Linked DNA regions of Mus musculus. The protein of the gene in region 1 interacts with the protein of each later gene in a pairwise test. Links are inferred from orthologs where the notes say so. Each region holds a gene or a part of one and is shown in the gene's direction. Other genes may lie near its edges. The genes, in order: Tk1, Unc119 and Lrif1.

Region 1 (3,627 bases):
TCGGAGCAAACACTAGTCATGGAGCAGTGGTATTCCGAGAGGGGGTTGGGGGAAGGAGAGGGCTCCCGTGGGTCTTCTGGCAGAAGGGTTGGAGCCTGGAGGGAGGGCAGTGCCTGTCTGGCTGCTTCTGGCATAAACTGTGCCTGTTTTGTCGATGCTCAGGTGAGACGGCGGAATGGGTCTATATTCATGCTGGCCAGGGTGCCTTGCCTGATGTTGGCCCAAGAGATTATGTTCAGTCAGGGCCAGGACTCTGACGAGTGCCAGCCCAGCCTGGACGCTTCTAATTATACATGTGCGTTTTTATAGAGCAGGCCATGTCACATGCTGTGACTATTGTGGGGATGGCTGGGTCCAGGGACCAATCACATTCATTCCAAGTTTCTGCCCTTTGGCTGTGGCATTCTCTGTCTGGAGACAAATCTGGAGCTTCCAGCTCACCTCTGTTGATAGACTGGGAGGGACTGGGGACGAAGAGAAAGGCTAGAACACTAAGGCGTGGAGCAGGAGTGTGCTCAAGAAAAGGTCTGAGGAACCAGGCAGGGTGGCAGACCTGCACACTCAGCTCCACGAACACTGAGACAGGAGATTGCTTTGAGTACCAGGCCAGCCTGGGTTACACGGTAATAACCAATCAAAAGCAAAAGATGGAAGAGATGGGGAGACAGAACAGTGAGGCCTTGGCTCTGCAGGCGTGAGTCCCTAGCACCCCTGTAAAATGCTGGGTATAGCCACGTGTCCATAACCGCAGTACTAGGGAGGCAGAGGCAGGCGGGTCCCTGGAGCTCCCTGTCGCCCATCTGAATGGCTGTGGTCTAGATTCAGTGAGAGTCCTATCTCAAACAAAGAAGGTAAAGAACTATTAAGGAAAATGCCCAGCCTTGCTGGGCAGGGGAGAGAAGCCTGGGTCTTGATTCTAGGGAGACACTGTGCTATTGAAGGTTGGCCGGCCTGAGTGACCCCGGAGGGCAGCTATCCCTGCCAACCTGCTCCTGCCTCGCACATCTCATTGCCAAGAGCCATTCTCTCTCACGTGGGATTTCTTGGTGGGAAAATGCCAGTGTAACCTCATGGTGCTTATTCTCTGGGTTTTCACTTAGGCTCTCCCTCCACCCGTCCATGGGGGCTGAAGAGCGTGCGTGCGTGTGCGTGTTTATGGGTGCCTGCAGAGGCCAAAAGAGGATATTAGATCCCTTGGAGCTAAGCTATCTGATGTGGGTACTGGGAATTGAATTCTGGTAATCTATAGGAACGAGTCATACTTTTAACTGCTGAACCATCTCCCCAGCCCTGTATGTTTTGGGACAGGATCTCATAGCTTTGAACTTTGTAATCCTTCTACCTTCAAAGTACTGGTATTATGGTGTTGGACACTGTGTCTGGTTCATTTATTGCTGGGGGTGGAGCCCAAGGCTTCATGCACACTGGGTAAGCTCTCTTCTACCAACTGAGCTACCTGGTCTGCTCCTGAAATGTATGAGTGTTTGCTATTTTTATATGTATGTCTATCAAATGTGTGCAGTGTCCATAGAAGCCAGAAGAGGTCACCAGGGCCCCTGGAGCTGAAATTAACATATGGTTGTAAGTGACCATGTGGCCCTGGCAACTGGGTCCTTTGCAAGAGTGGCACGTGCTCTTTCCTGCCGTCCACCCCGAGTTCTCTCTCTGAAAGCCCATTTTAAACATGAGCTGTGTTTAGCTTCTAAGTCTGCCCTAACAGAAGTCAGCAAGGACTTTAAGCCCAGAGCTTTGTGCACTGACCGTTCTGGAAGGAAGAGACCCTTGGTGTTGGCAGGGCCGCTTCCTTCCAGGAACTGTAGGGGAAAGTTCTAGCCTGGTGGCTCTCAACCTTCCTAACTGAGACCTTTAATACAGTTCCTCGTGTGGTGACCCCAGCCAGAAGATTATTTTTGTTTCTTACACTCTTGCCTCTCACCCCCTTGCTCCCCATTCCCTTCCCCCACTCTCCACATGGTCATGGTCGGCCCCCATGTCTCTATTCTCTCCTTTCTGCTTTTCTCTGCCTCTGCTACTCTCTCAACTCCCCTCCTCATGGCCTAAATAAACTCTATTCTATATATTTTTGTTGCTACTTAATAACTATGATGTTGCTGCTGTTATGAATCATAATGCAAATATCTAATATGTGACCCCTGTGAAAGAAAGGGTCGTTCAGCCCCCGGGGGTCGTGACCTGCAAGTTGAGAGCTGCTGTTCCAGCCTCTCTGGTGTGTAGAGGCCTCTCTCAGATGCTGGATGGAGCCTGCTGGCAAGCTCTGGGTAGCAGTGGGCAAGTGGGTGGGATGTCTTAACAGGACTGGCGGTGTGGTCTGGTCTCCGGCTCTGGGCTTACCTGCATGCTCAGCTCCCCCACGGTCTTCGTGAGGCCCTTGCCTGGGGCAGCTCACCTCATCCTCTGGACTTTTCCCAGTTTCCTGACATTGTGGATTTCTGTGAAATGATGGCCAACGAGGGCAAGACAGTAATTGTGGCAGCGCTGGATGGGACCTTCCAGAGGAAGGTAAAGATGTCTGACTCTGGCTTGGCAGAGGATCCTGAGGCAGGAAACAATATACAAGGTCTCCCCAGAAGTAGGTGTGTTCAGAATAGAAGCTATTGGCTAGTGGGTGCTCTGAACTGGCCAAAGGGTAGAGAGCAGGAGGGTGTGGCTCTCAAGAAAGCAGGATCAGTAAAGTATGATGTAGCCTGAATCATGGGGTTTAAAAGAGAAGCGTTGGCGGTGGGAAGAGCTCAAGCTGAAGCATGCTTGCCTTGCAAAGCACACAGGCTCGAGTTAGATCCTCAGGACTCTTTAAAATGCTATCACCAGGAGACAGAGACAGGCAGATCTTAGCGGCTTACTGGCAAGCTGATCTAGTCTACACTGCAAGCCCCAAGCCAGTGAGAGACCGTTTCCAAAAGCACCAAGGTAGACAGTGCAGAGGCACAGCTCCTGACGTTGCTCTCTGGCCCCCACACACATACACATGTGAACACAGGCAGAGGAGGGAGGTGCCTGGCTAACTGACCGCACACACCTGCTGTCTTCCGTGCAGGCTTTCGGCAGCATCTTGAACCTGGTGCCCCTGGCGGAGAGTGTGGTGAAGCTCACCGCTGTGTGCATGGAGTGCTTCCGAGAAGCTGCCTACACGAAGAGGCTGGGCCTGGAGAAAGAGGTACACACACACACACACACACACACACACACACACACACACACACACACACACACACACAACACACACACACACACACACACACACACACACACACACTTACTTCTGCCCAAGGAGTGGGGTGGGCTTAGGCTCTGGCTTCTGAGTCCCACCCTCACATCTCCCTCCCACCAGGTGGAGGTGATTGGGCCTGGAGAAAGAGGTATACACACACACACACACACACACACACACACTTCTGCCCAAGGAGTGGGGTGGGCTTAGGCTCCGGCTTCTGAGTCCCGCCCTCACATCTCCCTCCCACCAGGTGGAGGTGATTGGCGGAGCCGACAAGTATCACTCCGTGTGCCGCCTGTGCTACTTTAAGAAGTCTTCAGCCCAGACTGCTGGCTCAGACAACAAGAACTGTCTGGTGCTGGGGCAGCCGGGAGAGGCCTTGGTTGTCAGGAAGC
Region 2 (4,283 bases), about 39 Mb from region 1:
AGCCACGCTGGGAGGGTGTTGGGCCAAGAGACCAAGGCAAGGTCTGCTGGTGATGACATGTCTTCACTCTCGCCCGTGGGCTCTCTACGGATGGCACTCCACGATGGGCTCCCTTCCCCTCCTAGTCCACTGGCTTGCTCCTCCATGCCTACAAGCCTCAGAAGGTACCCTTCCTGATCTCCATATCTGGCTCGAACTTGAAAGCCTTTGTGTGCCTACCTCTGGACAGGGGTACTTTGTCCTTGCAGCCTGTCAGCACAGCATACAAACGCACTGAGAGGTGAATTTAGGGGAGTACTTGAGTTGAATTGTAGCCCTGTCCTCTCCACTTCTGAGACCACCTCCCTCCTTCCTCAGCTTCTTGACTGGCGTCACCCACTGGGGACAGCCTGGTCTAGGAGGCAGTGGCTTAGGATCTTCTACCTTGTGGCTAAGGTTCCCCTCTACCCTTTCAGAGAGGTAGTGTGGAACAGGAGAAAACATTTCTGACTTGGAACCCAACAGGCCTGAATCAGACTCCGGCTTCTGCACTTAACAGACTAGAGAGCATCAGCTAAGCCGCTCCTCGCTCCTCACCTGAGCCTCAGGTTTCCATTGGTGGGAAAGCACTGATGATGTCACCCTCAGAAAGGGGCTGGATTAAATGTGATAAGCCTGTAAAAGTGTTCTGTATATTGGGCTCTTTAAAAACATACATTAGACTGTTATTAAACGTTGGTTGAATATGAGTTGATATGGATGACCATAACTCGTTCTTGTGTGAGAAGCAGACTGACCTGTTCTAGCTCACCATGTGTTCTTCCTGCCTCCCGTCCTGAGCATCCTGGGGACGGCTCGACACCTGGGCTGTGCTGCCTGCATGTTGTAGGGTGCCTGCGGATTGTAGGGTGCCTGAAGCAGCTTTTAGCAGGAGTTCTAGTGGGGAGTAGCTTGAGCCAGTGACAGCCCTGGGATAGCAACTCAATTCAACAAAGGAAAATACTGGGTGGGTACTGGCTGCAAGGAGCTGTGTGGTAGTGCTAGGGTGTTACGAGGAACAGTGTATAGAGCATCTCTGCTTTCATAGAGCTGACCTTTGAGGAGGAAGGGTCAGGGAACAAGCAAGAATTTCACTTAATGTATTACAAAAAAAAAAGGGCTGGTTAGCTGGAAATTGAGAAGAAGTACTTTAGAACTGGGTGGGTTGAGACCTGGGCTGAAGTCAGGACAAAGGTATCAGGGAAAGACCTTGAGGTTGGAACCCAGGAGAGAAAGAGGAGAGGTATTCGGTAACTACATTGTCAAAAAGAATCTACATTGTCAAAAAGTTCACAAGGACCCCCAGGATTCTGGCTCCCCCGCTGGAGACGCCAGGCGGTGGGCGGGGTATGTGTGACCCGCCTCCCGTGGGCGTGACCAAGGCGGGACGGCACCTGGGGCCCGGCCGGGGGTGGGGCGGCGGACGCTCCCCCTTCCCCTGGCTCCAGCCGGCGCAAGCAGCGGCGGCGGTGGCAGCGGGCGAGGATCTGCGGCCCCGCGAGGCCATGAAGGTGAAGAAAGGCGGCGGCGGGACCGGGTCGGGGGCGGAGCCCGTTCCAGGGGCCTCGAACCGGAGCGCGGAGCCCACGCGGGAGCCTGGGGCGGAAGCTGAGTCCGGGTCCGAGTCGGAGCCGGAGCCAGGCCCGGGGCCCAGGCTGGGGCCGCTGCAGGGCAAGCAGCCCATCGGGCCGGAGGATGTGCTGGGGCTGCAGCGGATCACGGGTGGTGAGCACCGGCGAGGGAGCGCCACCCGCGGGCTGGAGGGAGAGCGCGGGAGGGGGCCCACGAGGCTCAGAGTCCAGCCCCCACCCCTCCCCCACGCAGTGCCCCTCCTCTGTATCCCCTTACTCTCTCTCTCTTTGCCTCCAAGCCTGAAATCTCTGTGCTCTTTCCCTTGGTCTCTTGATGCGCCCCCTCCTCTCCTTGAAGTGGCTTCTTTTCACCCCACTCCTTCTTTTTCAAGGGGCCCACCCCTTTTCCCATGGTGGAGGTGGGGCAGCAGCTGCATCTGTAACCCTTTCCCCAGTGGAGTCTTCGGAACCCTTTGAGGGTGCTCGCACAGAGGAGTGTGCCTCATTGCAGGCTGTCTTCAGTGGCCACATCAGGCTAGGTGGAGGCAAGGAAAACCTTCAGGCTCCCTGACCGACCGTTATAGCCCTCACTCTGCTTCCCCGAGGAAGGCTGAGGCCATACTCTGCCCAGGAACATTGCTGATACGGGTGCTTCCGTCTGTTGGCTGTGGGCCCTGTGATGGAAGCAAGTGCGTGACCCCCCTCCCCCCAAGTCAGGACTTGTTCTTTTTCCAGGGCTCTCTCATCAAGGGAAGGCTAGTCTCCACTGAAACTGAGTTTCTGAGCTGTGCTACCTGGATTAGAGTCCCAGAGTTTGCCCGGAAATTGGCTGTGTGACCTTGGGGATGTAATTTCATTTGCAGGAGCATGTTTGCTTTTTTTTTTTTTTTTTTTTTTTTTTCCCATCTGTAAAATGGGAACAAGAACAATGTTACCTCCCTCAAGGTTATTGTGAAAAATAAAGCCAGTCTTCTGATTTTGGACAATGTTTGGCATGCTGTGCACGCTGTCAACAGGGTTCCTTTATCAACAGTGTTGGAAGCTACATAGGACTGTTCAGAGTGGCTGCCTGCAGGCAGATAAGTGATCGTTCAGGGCCAAGGCAGGCACCGCTACAGACAGTGCACAAGGACTAGAGAGTCTTCTGGCAAAAGGTTGGCTGAGCCTTGAGGAATGGAAGGTATTTGGAGAGACAGTGGCGGGTTGCCTTGGAATGGGTAGGTCACCAGCAACCTGCTCCGGCTCCACTTGTGAGCTTAGACTTCCCTTCTCTGGGATGGACACGGGTGCTAGTGTGGAAATAAACCCGCTAGCCTCAGGAGCAGCAGAGCCCAGGGCTCCCAGACAGCTGTGGAGGGGACCAGGATGACAGGCCTGAGCTTGTGCATCTGGGTCCCCAGGGGCCTCCCTCCTCCTTCCAGGGCTAGACAGCGGCATTCTTGGCTAGACTTCCCCAGCACTTGCTTCCTTGGCCAGGCAGCCCTCAGTGGAGGGAGGGGCCTTGACCAGGCTGATGTGGAAGCCCGTGGGCTGCTGCCTTTTGCAACAGGAGACCTTACAGCTTAGCTTGGCCCTGTGCGTTGGAGGGCAGGTTCACTGGCCTCTGGCCTGGATAACTGGAGGCTTATTTTGCAATGGAGGAAGCTTCCAGGTGAAGTCACAGCATGTGTCTCCCAGTCTGGAGGAAATGGCATAGCATGTGGAGGATGAGTTAAGACAAGTGCCTCTTTAAGAGCCCTTTTCTGTGCAGGATTTGAAAACAGGGTTCCAGGCCTCTCCACCTTGCCTGCATCTTGTGACCCTAATCACACAGGGCTGAGGTTTGCTGTTTCTGGATTACCAGGCCTTGAATCCAGATTAGGAAGCTATTTCTGTCCACAAGGACGAGAGCAGGTGGGTTCTGAGCCACTCTGCTCATTACTCTGGCCTGACCTTGGGTCCTAGGCCTCGTCTTTTTCTTGGCTGAGGAGAGGAAGTGGCTGCCTTCCTAGGCAGCCCCTGATCCTCGCTCCTTGTAAGGGCAGAGAGGCCCACAAGTTGAGTTTGCAGTGTAAGAGACTGAGTGCAGAGTGTGAGAAATCCTTCCCAGTGAGAGGAGAGGGTTCCAGGCTGGGCCTGCTGTAAGAAAGGAGGCTTTTCCTGGGAGTTGGGCAACTAGGCCTCTGCTTCCAGTTCTGCCCCCCCTTCTCCCTCTGCCCTGCAGCATCTTTCTATAGCTTTATCTCAGACCTCAGCTCCAACGAGCTAGAGAGCTGTCAGGAGGGCTTCCTGGAGGGGGCTGTCCCCGGCTTGGGGAGGAGACAGGCCGAAGGATGAGAGAATAGCTTTATATTCACTTCCTTTTTCAACCACAGAGGGATAGGGGGTGGCCCAGGGACCTGGGGGTGACTTCCGGGCCTCTGTAGGTCAGCGGAGAGGATGTGGTACCGGAGGCTGGCAGTACCCAAGTCTCCACAGCAATTTTCTGCCCCTTCCTAATTCTTGCCAGGGCCTCCCCTAAGACTTGGTGTAAGGTTTTAGGAAGCAGGAAGATCGGGAGTTCAAGGCCAGCATCTGCCACATAGTGAATTTGAGGTTAGCCTAGGCTACATGGAACCCTGACTTAAAAACAGCAACAGAAGAGTGGTAACGGTTAAGACCATGAGCGCCCCTGGGCAATGCTTGGCTCTCTTGGTTTCCTTCTGAGCCCAGGAC
Region 3 (4,152 bases), on another chromosome or scaffold:
GTATAACCCTGGCTAACCTGAAACTCACTTTGGTGACTAGGCTGACCTCAAATTCAGAGACCCACCTGCCTCTTCCTGAGTTCTGGAATAAAAGGTGTGCACAGCAATGTGTAGCAAAACGCATTTGATTTTTTTGTTTGTTTGTTTTAGTTGTTGTTGTCATTGTTGTTTTTTCCTAGTAACTTTGATTACATAGACAAAAGATGCCATAAAGCTTGAAAGCATTAAGGTCTGCCTATCTTTCCTGATGTCTTTAGTATGAGAACAGGGTACTTTATTGTCAAATAAATGTGCTATACAAAAATAGGAAAATGATACTTTCTCTTGACATATCAAAACCTGAAGTTCTTAAAAATCTTTAACGTTTAGCAGTTAGGGGTATGAGTAAACCTTTCTTCTTCCCTTTTTGTGAGACTAGATTTCATGTAGTTCTTGATGGCCTTCTACTAAGTAGCCAAGGGTGATCTTAAAGCCCCTATCGTCTTGCTTGTACTTTCCAAGCGCTAGAATTGCATATGTGTGTCACTAAGCCTGGTAATTCCATTTTTAAATAACCATATAAACCTTCAAATTGTCTACCTTATCAGTGTCCTGAATTTGAACACTGCAGCATACAAGATTGCCTATGTCAAATAAAATTTTATCTTTGAAAACACTTTCATAATATTCCACACCTAATTAAACTATAATTCCTCCTACCCATTAAACAGTATGATCCCAATTCTCAAATAGTCATTAACTGCAGGACTCTAGAGAATTCTTAGAGCTGGTTTCTGGAAATTAAGAGTTTCAAAAAGTTTATACAGGGGATTTAATGCACAGACACTCAAAGAATTGAATACATGACAGTAAGATACAGTTTTAACTGAGGTGTTAGTGTGGGAATGGAGAAAATGGTTAATCGATTAATGTAGAGCAAAACTTCAAGAAACAGAAAAAAATAATCACTTCTAGCCATGAGAAGGGAGATAAAGGTTTTCAACAATTTATGGCAACTACCAAATGCCTATCTGTGTCTACTGAATAAAACTGCTAAGGAGGACATTATTACATTGGCTTGCAAAAGCGCATGTACAAGTGCAGACAATTTAAGCCTGACACCGGAAGTATTTCATTTCATGTAGGCAGTGAAAGCACTTTCTCTTTTAGTTCCTCCTTTGATCCGGAAGAAGAGACCTCAACCTTCGCTGTCGATTGGACCACGTCATAAGGGCGGGGCCATGGCGATCCATTCGCCTTGGTAACCATATGTGACGTAGCTGTATGCCTAGGATCCCTGGCTCTAGGAGCTCGGTTTTAGTGGGCGCAGACTCCGATCAGGCCCTGTCGTGGGTGGTGCTATTGATGCCACGCCCCCCACGTCCTCTCTGACTGGCTGTGATGCGTCACGTAGCCAGAAGAGACTCGCCGGAAAACTGTGAGCTTGCCTGAGGTAGGAGTCTTCCGGCTTCTACAGCCACTTCCCACGGAAGCTGGGGGAGCCGCCCTCTCAACTATCTCCCGTCACACCCTTCTGTTCGCTCGCCTCAGACGCTGCCCTTCCACACCCGTGCTCTGGTTCGCGCCTACTTGGGGACGCTGTCCCCCCAGTATTCACTGCCCTATCCCCTCCCACCCATCTAAAATGTCTAATAGTCTCCAGAGCGTCATTCTGAAAACCGCAGAGGAAAAGTCAGGCTCGCGCTGGTAAGTACCAGTTCCCAGTTCTTCAGGCGCCCGCCCACACCCTGTGACTTAGGTTGTCATGGCCGCGTCAGCTGACGTTCAGCCGCGCGCACCGGGTGCTAGCTGCGGGGATGTGGGAGCACAGCGCCATCACAGCACACCTCCTTACACCGCACCCACTGCACACCAGTGCAGAGCCCTTGGCTCCCAGTCCTCTCCAAAATGTAAAGCAGCCCGCGATTACAACGCAGCTACCATCTCCTGGCCCCCAGCGCGCCCTACGCCACCCGCTCGAATTTCATAGGCGGAACAAGTAGATACCCACGGAAGTAAAACCAACTTGGCGATGCTCCAAGAATCTCAAACACTTACCAAAACACCCATCGTGGATTAGCAAGTGCAGCCCCGCGGCGCTGTAACTTCAAGTGAAAATAGTCCCATTTTAATGTACTTAGAAAATGTGTTCTAGAACAAGGGACTTTAGTATTTGAAAATTTCAACTAATATGGAGAAAAGTAAAAACTTGAAATGTGTTTTTCCAGGTAACACATTTGAAACGGGTCTAAAAGGGGTGCATCTCATTGGTTGTCTCTACAAAGGAACAGTTGGAACACTGTATGGCTCTGGTTAGGTAGGAAACTCACTATAGCCAGGACTGTCCACAATACAGCCTGGGTTTACCTCGTGTTAGGATTACAAAGGGTTCTGACAGTCTTTGGTTTGGAAATGTATCACCAGTAACATTTTTCTTTTAATTTTGTGTTAATCCAGATGAAATAAAAGCAGGAACAACAGAATATTCCTTAAGGAACAATTCTTTAATTTATGCTTTCCAGAGTTAATGAGTGCTTGTTGAGAAGCAAAGATTAGTAAGTCTGTAGAAGGTAAATGAACAACATAAAATCTAAGAGCAAAACTGATGAAAGGGGATTGTGGTTGAAAAAAGAAAATCTACCTGGTGTTTATTGCAGCTTTGTTTGTTACCATTTATGAGACTAATGTTTCACTTTCTAATAAAAATAATGGTATCAGGGAATATTTTGATAACAACAGAAAAGAAATAATTTAAGAAAGAAAGGATTATTTAAATATTTGCTCCAAGTTTAAGAACATGAATTTGTGTCCTGTTTCTAGGTTTCTTTTAGTTACAAGTATATACAAACCCAAATTGCAATGAAAAACCAATAGTGATTTTAAAAAAAACACACACACACATTTTCCTTTAAAACAATGCTCTAACAAAAACAAGTGACCATCCTGTGTCAGCCTTGCCAGTAGCTGAATCTTTAGGAAGCTGTTACTATGCAAGTACCCCCCCCAAAGTCATTAACAGTAACTAGTGAGCTGTTAACATAGAAAGAACTGTTATATAGCAATAGAGACGGCTCTTTGGTAGTCTGTATTTTGTGGAAATTTAAAGATAAATTGTATCCTATACAGAGAAGCAAAAGTAGAAGAAATGCTTTTTAGTCAATAATTTTATATGTTTTACCTGTATATGATATATTATAGATGATATAACTTATGTGTTTAAGATCATATTCTTTTCCAGTCCTATAAGATTAAGTGGTGCATTAAAGTTTTTTATTATGCCCTTGGGCTCTCTTTTAAACACTTTCTAACAATTTTGGCAAATTTTTAAGTCAGAAAAATATCTTAAATTCAATTATGTTTTGGTTACTTTCAACTTCTTTAATTCATTGGCTTATTTTCTTGTGCCTTGTTATATTTTCATGCTTTTATTTCTTAAATTTTCTGATATCATAACATATTCGGAGTAGTATTGTCATAGAGAATATTTATTACTTAATGTATGTAATTTAATCAAGCATAAAAATAGGAAACTCAGTTTTATAAGAACAATGCAAAAATCTGTATATTTGCAGTGTAGTAGTCATTTAATTATTAAGATTTGCATTGAATTCTTATTTACTCAGTTGTGTACCACAGGTAGCATAATAGCTCTAACGTTTGCTTTGGTCTGGTAACTATTTCATCTATTGGAGATTGAGTGTGCAGAAAATTTTTGGAATAGGATTGATGAGATTAAAATAGGTTTGAGTAACTAGTGACCGTGCTGATTTAGAATGAAGATTGTATTTCAGATGACTTCAGAAATCCGAGGGCTTGGATAAGATGGTAGAGAATTAGATTTAAAGAAATGGAATAAAAATTACACATACCTTATTAGGAAATTACTAAGATTTATTGAGAAGCTTTCTTGTCAATATTTGTGAATTAAATGAGACAAAGACAAATGTCCAGTTAAAATTACTGCTCTCAGCATGTGGCTTCATTCACTTGGGAAGAAAATGTTTCATTGCTGGTTGATGTCTTTGGTTGTAAAGTTTTATCTTTACAACTTCAGAGTAAACTTGGAGAGACATTAACACCATATAAGCTAACTGGACTTATGCAATTGAATTGTTGAACCTTGCTTTTTATATAAAGTATAAATAAGATTCCTTAAGGAAAGCATGTAATTCT

What was found.
Region 2: the proteins of Tk1 (region 1) and Unc119 interact in a two-hybrid assay, tested with the Homo sapiens proteins (2 studies listed by BioGRID and IntAct). The link is inferred for Mus musculus from reciprocal best matches to the Homo sapiens genes TK1 and UNC119.
Region 3: the proteins of Tk1 (region 1) and Lrif1 interact in a two-hybrid assay, tested with the Homo sapiens proteins (2 studies listed by BioGRID and IntAct). The link is inferred for Mus musculus from reciprocal best matches to the Homo sapiens genes TK1 and LRIF1.

What each region holds. Positions count from the first base shown.
Region 1 is NC_000077.6:117,815,995-117,819,621, reverse strand, and holds part of Tk1 (thymidine kinase, cytosolic), read left to right. Parts: intron 1-2,430; coding exon 2,431-2,520; intron 2,521-3,055; coding exon 3,056-3,175; intron 3,176-3,349; coding exon of another isoform or gene 3,350-3,439; exon of another isoform or gene 3,440-3,476; intron 3,477-3,482; coding exon 3,483-3,627. UniProt on the Homo sapiens protein: Cell-cycle-regulated enzyme of importance in nucleotide metabolism. Catalyzes the first enzymatic step in the salvage pathway converting thymidine into thymidine monophosphate.
Region 2 is NC_000077.6:78,342,044-78,346,326, forward strand, and holds the start of Unc119 (protein unc-119 homolog A), read left to right. Parts: upstream 1-1,451; 5' UTR 1,452-1,523; coding exon 1,524-1,743; intron 1,744-3,540; exon of another isoform or gene 3,541-3,639; intron 3,640-4,283. UniProt on the Homo sapiens protein: Involved in synaptic functions in photoreceptor cells, the signal transduction in immune cells as a Src family kinase activator, endosome recycling, the uptake of bacteria and endocytosis, protein trafficking in sensory neurons and as lipid-binding chaperone with specificity for a diverse subset of myristoylated proteins.
Region 3 is NC_000069.6:106,720,421-106,724,572, forward strand, and holds the start of Lrif1 (ligand-dependent nuclear receptor-interacting factor 1), read left to right. Parts: upstream 1-1,261; 5' UTR 1,262-1,624; coding exon 1,625-1,686; intron 1,687-4,152. UniProt on the Homo sapiens protein: Together with SMCHD1, involved in chromosome X inactivation in females by promoting the compaction of heterochromatin.